Callithrix jacchus: one gene and its partner. The protein of the gene in region 1 purifies or fractionates together with the protein of each later gene. This does not show direct contact. Links are inferred from orthologs where the notes say so. Each region holds a gene or a part of one and is shown on either strand. Other genes may lie near its edges.

Evidence for each region.
Region 2: the proteins of SATB1 (region 1) and TRIM47 purify together in Homo sapiens (affinity purification with mass spectrometry; 4 studies listed by BioGRID and IntAct, with this or other methods). This does not show direct contact. The link is inferred for Callithrix jacchus from reciprocal best matches to the Homo sapiens genes SATB1 and TRIM47.

What each region holds. Positions count from the first base shown.
Region 1 is NC_133518.1:57,115,479-57,119,899, forward strand, and holds the start of SATB1 (DNA-binding protein SATB1), read right to left. Parts: upstream 3,095-4,421; 5' UTR 3,089-3,094; coding exon 2,878-3,088; intron 1-2,877. UniProt on the Homo sapiens protein: Crucial silencing factor contributing to the initiation of X inactivation mediated by Xist RNA that occurs during embryogenesis and in lymphoma.
Region 2 is NC_133506.1:131,771,680-131,775,923, forward strand, and holds the start of TRIM47 (E3 ubiquitin-protein ligase TRIM47), read right to left. Parts: upstream 2,933-4,244; 5' UTR 2,900-2,932; coding exon 2,225-2,899; intron 1,281-2,224; coding exon 1,185-1,280; intron 908-1,184; coding exon 677-907; intron 516-676; coding exon 317-515; intron 1-316. UniProt on the Homo sapiens protein: E3 ubiquitin-protein ligase that mediates the ubiquitination and proteasomal degradation of CYLD.

The DNA of each region.
Region 1 (4,421 bases):
ATAGATTTGGTGTGCTCTCTCTTTATATATTTTAATCCAATAGTAACTCAGTAGCCAGATGATTAATAAGCACAAGCCACAGCACTCACTATCAGCAAGATGCTTCTTCTAGAAATTGATATTACGGAATGCTGTAGTACTCAAGGTGTTTATGCAGCTCACTGTCAGACTTCCAATGATAACGGAAAAGGGTTAAAAGCAGATGCATCTGAATTGTACTGTGGCAAACTGCCAGAAGGGTATCATCTTTAGCATAAATGATGACAAGGGTTACTTTAACAGGGCACCCAGGATCCACAATTAGTCCTACAATACTAATGCCTCTGTAAGCTCTGTCCTCTGGACTCACAGAATCCTACCAACTTCTGAAGATATGTAGTACACAGCAACCGTAGCTAAAAATCAGGATTTCCTACTGACACCAGAGAGGCTCTTTAGAGATTCTCTATTTGCTGTTTCTGTTGAACAAAAGCCGGCAATAAAACAGCTACATCTTTCTATATGTGAGTCTTCACCAAAGCTTTAGTGAACTGTTCACAAGAGATTCTAGCTCTGACAAATAAACCCCTTTAGGTTTACTTAGGAAAACTCACAAACTCATTCAGAGGTACCAATAGGATAAGCATGAAAAACAAGCTGCAGAGCTTGCCAATATTTTTGTCATTCATTCAGCTGTTTTATACCAGCGAGAGAACCCGTCAGGGATCAGAAGACAACTTGGGGAGACCACAGCAAAAATAGCAATACGCAAACTGGTGATTTCTTCCTTGGCTTGAAGATATTTTGACAAAATCGCCTAAACAAATAAAAACATTCAATCCCTTTTTCTTAGTAGTGCTTTCTCATCTCAGCCATAATTTTCATCTAGCACCTGTCAGACAGAAACCATGCACAAGAAAAATAAGATGGAAATATTAATAAAAATCCATGAAAAGGCTTTAGCAATTTTGTTATTTGAAGTATCTGAGGCCCTTCTACAATTAAACTGCATTTTTAGCATACATCCAAAAAACAAAACAAAAAAGCATTTGAGCAGGAAGTGAATTTACTGTACTTTTAGTTCTTCCTCCTCCTGTCCTGATATCTTCAAGGAGTCGAGTAAGTACAACAAAAACACACATATTGATTCTTCCTTTTGAAGGATTAAACAGATGTATTCTACAATATGCTTTTCCTTAGACCTATGAACTGCAGGGTTTTCAAACTATTGAAATATATTGGATTTATTTTGGATTTTATCGATTATGTTTAGAGGTACCCTAAAATAATAAAGATGTCTATAAAGTAACAAGAGTATCATCTAATTACAGATCTTCTAGCAAACTGTTGCGGTTACCCTCCTGTTCCTGGGAATAACGCTGAACATAAGCCTTCTCTGAACTGTCTGATTATTCGTGCAAGTGTTCGGTGAGAGTTCCAACTACAGCGACTTCATAACCTTCCAGCATTTAAAGGGGAGAGCACTGGTCACTGCTGAATGCTAAAAATACCACATGATTTAAACCTGAAGGCAGTCTTAGAAGCTTTTGCTGAAGGTTTATGAGCCTGTGTAAACAGCACGTCTGCCATAAGGAGCAGTGAAGTCTGTAGAATCCTTGTCTAAAACTGTCCTGGCATTAAAGTTTGCTGTGCAAATATCACATAATACCAGAGACAGCTGAAATCTCCTATTTAGGAATTTATGGAACTTACATGTTTGCAGGCGTCAGAAAGTCTTTTTTATAGAGCCCCAGTGCTTCACAGTACAATATTAATGTACTCTGTTTGAAAAGCCGTAATAAATTATATTTTTAATGCTCTTACCCTGGCTTTCTTAAGATGCATACATTCTTGGCAAACAATCAATAAATAGGGTAATCATGAGTAGAGGCCAAAGAATTTGCTGAAGTGCTGTTTTTCCATTTTTAATAGATAAAGATCTAACAATACGGACTGCTGTGTCTGTTCATTTCAGGATCAATATATTCTTTGTTTTCGCCAAACCAAGGAAAAAATAAATGATTGTATGATAAATGTTATGCATCAAACACAATGAAATTCCTCTGCCTTCTAACTTTAGCTACTTAATATTCTTGGTTGCTAAAATATAGCATTTTTAATCCATTGCTTAGCTATTATAAGGAAAATCTGATTCCTATACATGTTATTTAGACACAGAATGAAGCTCCTTATGAGGCACAGGCATTACACCCGGGAGAGGCACTGCTTTACAGGAACAACACTGTTAAACACAGTCAAAGTTGTTAAACCGCATCAATTTAATATTGATAGAAAAGAGTCACACAGTTACACATCTTCCCCTTTAAACTTGTCTAAATCTGTTCTTTCTTCATCAAGCATACCCAATTAAAACAAAAATTAAAGACCAGAATCATCAGATTTTTCAATACTAATGAATTTTCTCTGAAGAAAATAAGCCACGAAAAATAACATGACAAACTTCTGTGTAAGACTTTTAAGATCTCTGAAACTGCCTTACAACCAAAAATCTTAGAAAGAAGCTAGGGTAGCTCTCAAACCACCTAAGTGTTTTATTCTTAATCAGGTTAGTTTAAAGCAACAGCCGCCTACAATCCTCTACTGTAACACCTTGTGAATGGACCCCTGTGTAAACTAAGACCATTATATTTAATTCAGTCCTTAGAATCTGAAATGTCCAATGATTCCAGACTACAGTAAAATGCTCCACCCAAGCATGGAGCCTATACTTTCTAACATGATTGATACTAAGGACCCAGAATGTAACTAATTTAAGATCAGAAAGAGAATAAAGGCAGAGTATACAAAACATGTTCTGCCACTCCACCCCCACACAATGTGGCCTTGTGTAGACACCAGGGCTTTCAGCTTTCCAGGATTTGGCTTGAGAGTATTTACCTTTCCTAAGGTTGGTTTTCATCAGATGGCCCGAATGTTTTAAAGGCACTCCCTGCATTTTTGCACCTGTACTCCCAAGCCTTCCTCTTCCTAGTGGGCTCCCGTTCTGCTCCAGGCGGGCAATCTTGGCTGGTGGACCCTTCGGATCACTCACATTGTTAGACATTTCTGAATGTTCTTTCCCCTGAGTTGCCTCGTTCAAATGATCCATACTCAGTCACTGTCTAAAGATCACCTGCCAGAATTTAAAAAGAAGACACGTTACAATTGGTTGGGGACCCGTATGCATATATGTGTCCTATGTAAATGTTTTAGCTCTAGATATCTCTCTCTACTAATATAATGTATTTGTAAAATGGCCTTTCTAGATAAAATACAGATGTTACTATGTTTCTAGATAATAGCCCTACATTCTTATTCAAATTAACAGAATGATCTGTGGAAACTGTACCAATACACATGAATAAAAAGGTAATTGGCCTATAAAAAAAAAGCGAGGAAAAATGGGCTTACTTTTAGAATTATCAGAAGTATAGCTAAAAAGAAAACAGCAAATTGTATTTATGCAGTCCCAATTTTTAACAACTAGAAACTCATTACAAAAAGACAGCAGAAACACTTTAATAAAGGATGGAAAGATTATCACAGTTCAAAATATTAGAAATCTAATGTATATGTTTCTATTTTTACATATGTTTTAATTCTTATAAAAAACACATAAACCAGCTCTAAAGAAAGTAACAAACATCTAACTGCTTTTTAAACTCCCCAGTGGCATAAGTTAATGCCTAGAAAAAGTTTTCTACTACCAAAGTTTCAAGAGTTATGTGACTTGTTAAAGACCTAGTCAAGTTTTGGGTCAAACACATGATTGGATCAGTTTACCCCTAAGCAAACAGAAAGAAGTGAAAGGTTTTCAAATATCCAATGTACTGATGCATTAAACTCATGTGTTTTAGAGTTAATATTTAGGTGTACATTAGTAATAGAGGGCTGTTAAAAATAAATATTTTTTAAAAATTGAATATAGTTCATGATATGCACATTAGGTTGAAGTGTCAAGCTATAGGAAAAAAAAAAAAACAAAAAAACCTTGATGATAATGGTAAAACAAAATATCCAGTATTCAGAAATAACCTCAGCATGCAATGGCGTTAACATCATAATTAACTTCAAAACATTAACAGATAATTATTTTCAGTTATGTATTAGACATCAATTTTCACATCATTTACAGTAAAGTGATTAGACAATATAAAAGTCATTTTTAAAGTATAGTTTTAACTAGGATTGATAAGAACAGGTAATTAGAATTATTTTATGAACTTTCATGGTGTTTGAAGTATTGAGCTCATAAAACTAAGGGTTTCATATTTAGGAAAACCAGAGAATAATTACCATTTTTCCTAGCTGTCTAGTAATTTGACATAGCTTGTTTTTGTTTTAAATTCTTATACTGAAGCTATTTAAATCTGGATTTGTTGAAAGCCAGTTTGTATCAGCATGGTTTTTCTGTAAACATTTTTTTCTTCTGTTTAACCATA
Region 2 (4,244 bases), on another chromosome or scaffold:
TCCAGAGCCACCACCCAGACATGGCACGCTGTGCTCACTTGCATGCTGGCTTCCTGTGTTCTGCCCCTTGCCCCACGTGCTTCCCGGCCACAGCCCCTCTGCAGCTAGAGGGTGGGCTAGCAGAAGACCTCTCTGCCCTAAACTGTGGTCCAAGGGGTTGACTGATCCCTCAGGGTGGCAGCTCCTGCCACTGGCAGGATTTGGGCCCCTCCCTGTGCCAGGCACAATTGTCCTCCTTTACTTCTGGATGGGCCACAGGCCCAGGGGCCTGTGCAGGAGGCTGGGAGAGGGTGAGTCATCAGAGGGGGTTGCCCACCTTCCGAGTCTAATTTCTGTGGCCCGTCCTCATTGCCGCCCGGCCCCCTCAGCTGCTCCCACTGGCTAGCGCAGGCCGCGGTCAGCACGTCTCTCACTGCACGGACAGCTTGGGATGATTTGGTGAAGCTGAGCTCCCTCGGGGGGCCAGGTCCAGGGCCACACCCCTCCTCCAGGGCCAGCCTTAGCGCCAGCAGCTCCTGTGCCAGACAAATGCCCATTGAAGCTCTGCTGGCCATGGGTCCTCCTTGCTGGGGGTGGAGGCAGCTCTGCCAGGAGGTCATGCACCACTGCCTCATCCTCCCTCCACCCCACCTGCCCCAGCTTCCATTCCCTCTGTGGCCCCCAGAGCGGCCCTCACCTGTAGGAAGCTGACTGAGTCGGCTTCGGGGACCTGGCTGAGGTTCTGGCGGGCTCGGCTCAGGCGGCTGCGCTGTTCCTCCTGTCGCCGCAGGTCGCCCTGGGAGCGACCCAGCATGGCAGCTTCCCCTTCTTCGATGAAGCTCAGCACCTCGGTCTGGAAGCCCTGCAGGGTGGCTGCAGCCTCTGCAAATAGCCGGCTCACCCTCTCCCGCTCCGCCACGGCTGCACTCTGCACAGGATGACAGTGGGGTGGCAGTGAGGGCAAAGAACAGTCCTGGACTTTGGCCCCTTCCTTCCCTGAGCCAGCTTCCCAATGGCCCTCTTGAGGGGACAGAGGGGCCAGCCTGAGCCTGCCCTAGCTCTGGCCAGGTCAGGGGACACTTGTGTTCAGTAGGTGTGGGCATGGCTTGTTTGGAGTGGACTGTTCCGTTCTGAAAGCATATACTGCCAGGAGTATGCCCGCTGCAGGGGAGGACAGGGATGGAGGCTGGGGAGGGGAGTCTGACCTTGATGAGGGCCACCGTGCGCCTGGACTGTGCAATGCCAGCACCCAGCTCATCCATGCGGTCCTCCACGGCGCTCAGGACTTTGGGCTGCTCGGCCTGTGGACAACACCCTCCATGAGTGTGAGGTCTGGCAGAAGCCACAGCGCTGCACTAGGGTCCCGGGTCTTGCCAGGGGAGAGAAGAGGGTGACCAGGGAGTGGTATCTGTGCACTGGGTGGGACTGGAGTGGCCACCATGTCCCATCATATGCCAGACGTGCCTGCAGCCCAGGCTGGTGCCTTTCCTGAACACCTGTGGGATGTGGGTGTCTGCCTCCCCTCTCTGATCTCAGTGTGGGCTCAGATGAATTTGAGAACTTCCTCCCAGAGAAGAGGCACAGAGTAAGAGAGTTAGGTGAGGGGTGACCGCACAAGGAGGCATTAAGCTGTCCTGGGGCTCACTGTTCCCACAGGGCCTGCATCCACAGTCCAGGCCTGAAAAAAAGGGGATTCCAGGCAAATCCCCCAAGTCTTATGAGTCACTGCTCCAGGCAGGAGAGACGGAAAATCCCAAGGCCGGAGGCGCCAAGACCGGGCTTGAGGCCAAAGGAAACTGGGGGCGGGAGGTAGCGGCCACCGCGCACATGCTCCCACCACAGGCCCCCCTGAACAGCTGGACAGAGGCTCTGTGTGCCTGGCCGCCCTCTGCCACCCACCACACCCATCGAAAGCCGTTGCCTCAGCCCAGCGCAAATCTGAGCTGAGCCCAGCGCGAGCGGCTGGCGGGAGCAGCAGCGAGAACCCCGCTCCCTCCCGCCTACACTCCCATGGACCCCAGCACGGCTTCAGGTCCCCTGCCGGCTCTTCGAGTCCTTGTCCCGTTCTCACGTCCCTCCTTCCTCCCTTCCCATCTCCACCACCGCAAACAGAAGACACTGTCAAGGCTGGAAGGGTTAGGGAGGAGGAAATTAAGATCCAACCCAGGAAGGTTGGGGGGTCGGTCCAAGGCCCTCAGCGCCCCCGTCACCCTTCCCGGCCCACCCGAGTGTCCCCGCGCCCCACCTCCTGAAGCGCGCGCTCCTGCTCCAGCGGCACCAGCTCGTGACCCCGGTGCTCCTGGGCAGCGCAGGCCTCGCACAGGCACACGCGCTCCGCGCGGCAATAGCGCTCGAGCGGCCGCAGGTGGCGCGGGCACAGGCTCTCTTCCAGCCGGCGCAGCGGCGGCACCAGGCGGTGTCCGCGGAGCGCAGGGCTGCGCTCGTGCGGGCCCAGGTGCGCAGGGCAGAAGGAGGCGAGGCAGGAGAGGCAGGACAGCGCGGCGGGTAGGGCCGCGCCCTCGGGGCACGCGTCGCAGCGCACCGGCTCTTCGCCCTCCGGCCACGGTTCCGGAGCGCAGGGAGCCGACGGCTCAGGGGCGCTGGGTGGCGCGCTGGGCGCCGAGGGCTCCAGGGCCGGGGCGGTGGCCGGGCCGGGGCCGGGCCCTGGGCCCGAGCCCTGGCGGAGCTGCAGCAGCTCGGACAGCGTGTGGTTCTTGCGGAGCTGCAGGCCGTCAGGGAAGGGCTCCTGGCACAGCGGGCAGCGGGCCGCGCCTCCGGGTCCGCCGGCTCCAGCGGCGCCACGATGCGGCCAGAGAGCGCCCAGGCAGGTAAGGCAGAAGTTGTGGCCGCAGGGCAGCGTCACCGGCTCCCGGAGCGGCTCCAGGCAGATGGGGCAGCTGAATGGCCCGCTGCCGTCCATGGCTTCGCGGCCGCCCAGGGCTCCGCCGATTCTGCTCCCGCCTGGGAGGGACCGGGGCCGTTCGCGCCGCCGCACCGCCCACTGGGACTCAAGCCAGGGCTCCAGCCCCCGCCCGCCCCCAGCTCGGCCCGCCCCCAGCTCCGCCGGCCCTCCCGCCGGTCCGCGGACTCCCAGTCCCCACCCAGACGACGCGTGGAGGCTTCTGAGCCCGCGCAACCCCCAGGGGAGTCTGCGTGGTCTCAGGGAAGGGCGCTGCCGAAAGGCTGTGAAACCGAGGGGGCGCGGGCGGAGAACCCGAGGGGCACAGCGGAAGGAGTAGGAAGCGCTAAGCCTCCATCCCCTTGGTCTCTCTGGGCCAGGCCAGGGCTCCGCAGGGGCTGGGCCGGTCTAGCAGTGTCAAGCCTGCACCTTTGCTCTCGACCCCTCCCTGGCACCCTTAGCAAAGTTCCTGAGCTGCTGACGGCAGAGAAAAATAACTGCTGATGTGCGTCTGTTTTTGCCCCTTAGCAATTTTTTTTTTTTTTTTTTTGAGACAGTTTCCCTCTTGTCGCCTAGGCTGGAGTGCAGTGACGCAATCTTGGCTCACTCCATTTTCCGCCTCCTGGTTTCAAGTGTGATTCTCCCGCCTCAGCCTCCCAAGTAGCTGGCATTACAGGCGCACGCCACCACACCCAACTAATTTTTGGGTTGTTTTGTTTGAGATGCATTCTCACCCTGTCACCAGGCTGGAGTACAGTGGCACGATCTCTGGTGCACTGCAACCTCCACCTCCCGGGTTCAAGCGATTCTCCTGCCTCAGCCTCCTGAATAGCTGGCACTACAGGTGCATTCACCACACCCAGCTAATTTTTGTATTTTTTAGTAGAGACGGGGTTTCACCATTTTGGCCGGGCTGGTCTCGAACTCCTGACCTCAGGTAATCCACCCACCGTGGCCTCCCAAAGTGCTGGGATTACAGGTGAGCCACCGAGCCTGGCCCCTTTAGCGACTCTATTTACCCCGCTGGGGAACTTGGGCTTTTCTAGACCTGAAATGGGAAGTTGACATCATTCTCCCAGTCCCTTGTCTGAGGAATTTAGTTCTGGTCCCTGGACACTCAGGGGCACCTGTGGTGGAGCTGGGGAGAGTTCCCCAACTGGAAGTATTTAAACCTCATCTAGCCAGGTGTGGTGGCTCACGCCTGTAACCCCAGCACTTTGGGAGGCCGAGGCGAGAGGATTATGAGGTCAGGAGTTCAAGACCAGCCTGGCCAAGATGGTGAAACCCCGTCTATACTAAAAAATACAAAATTTAGCCGGGTACTGTGGTGGATGCCTGTAATCCCAGCTACACAGAAGGCTGTGGC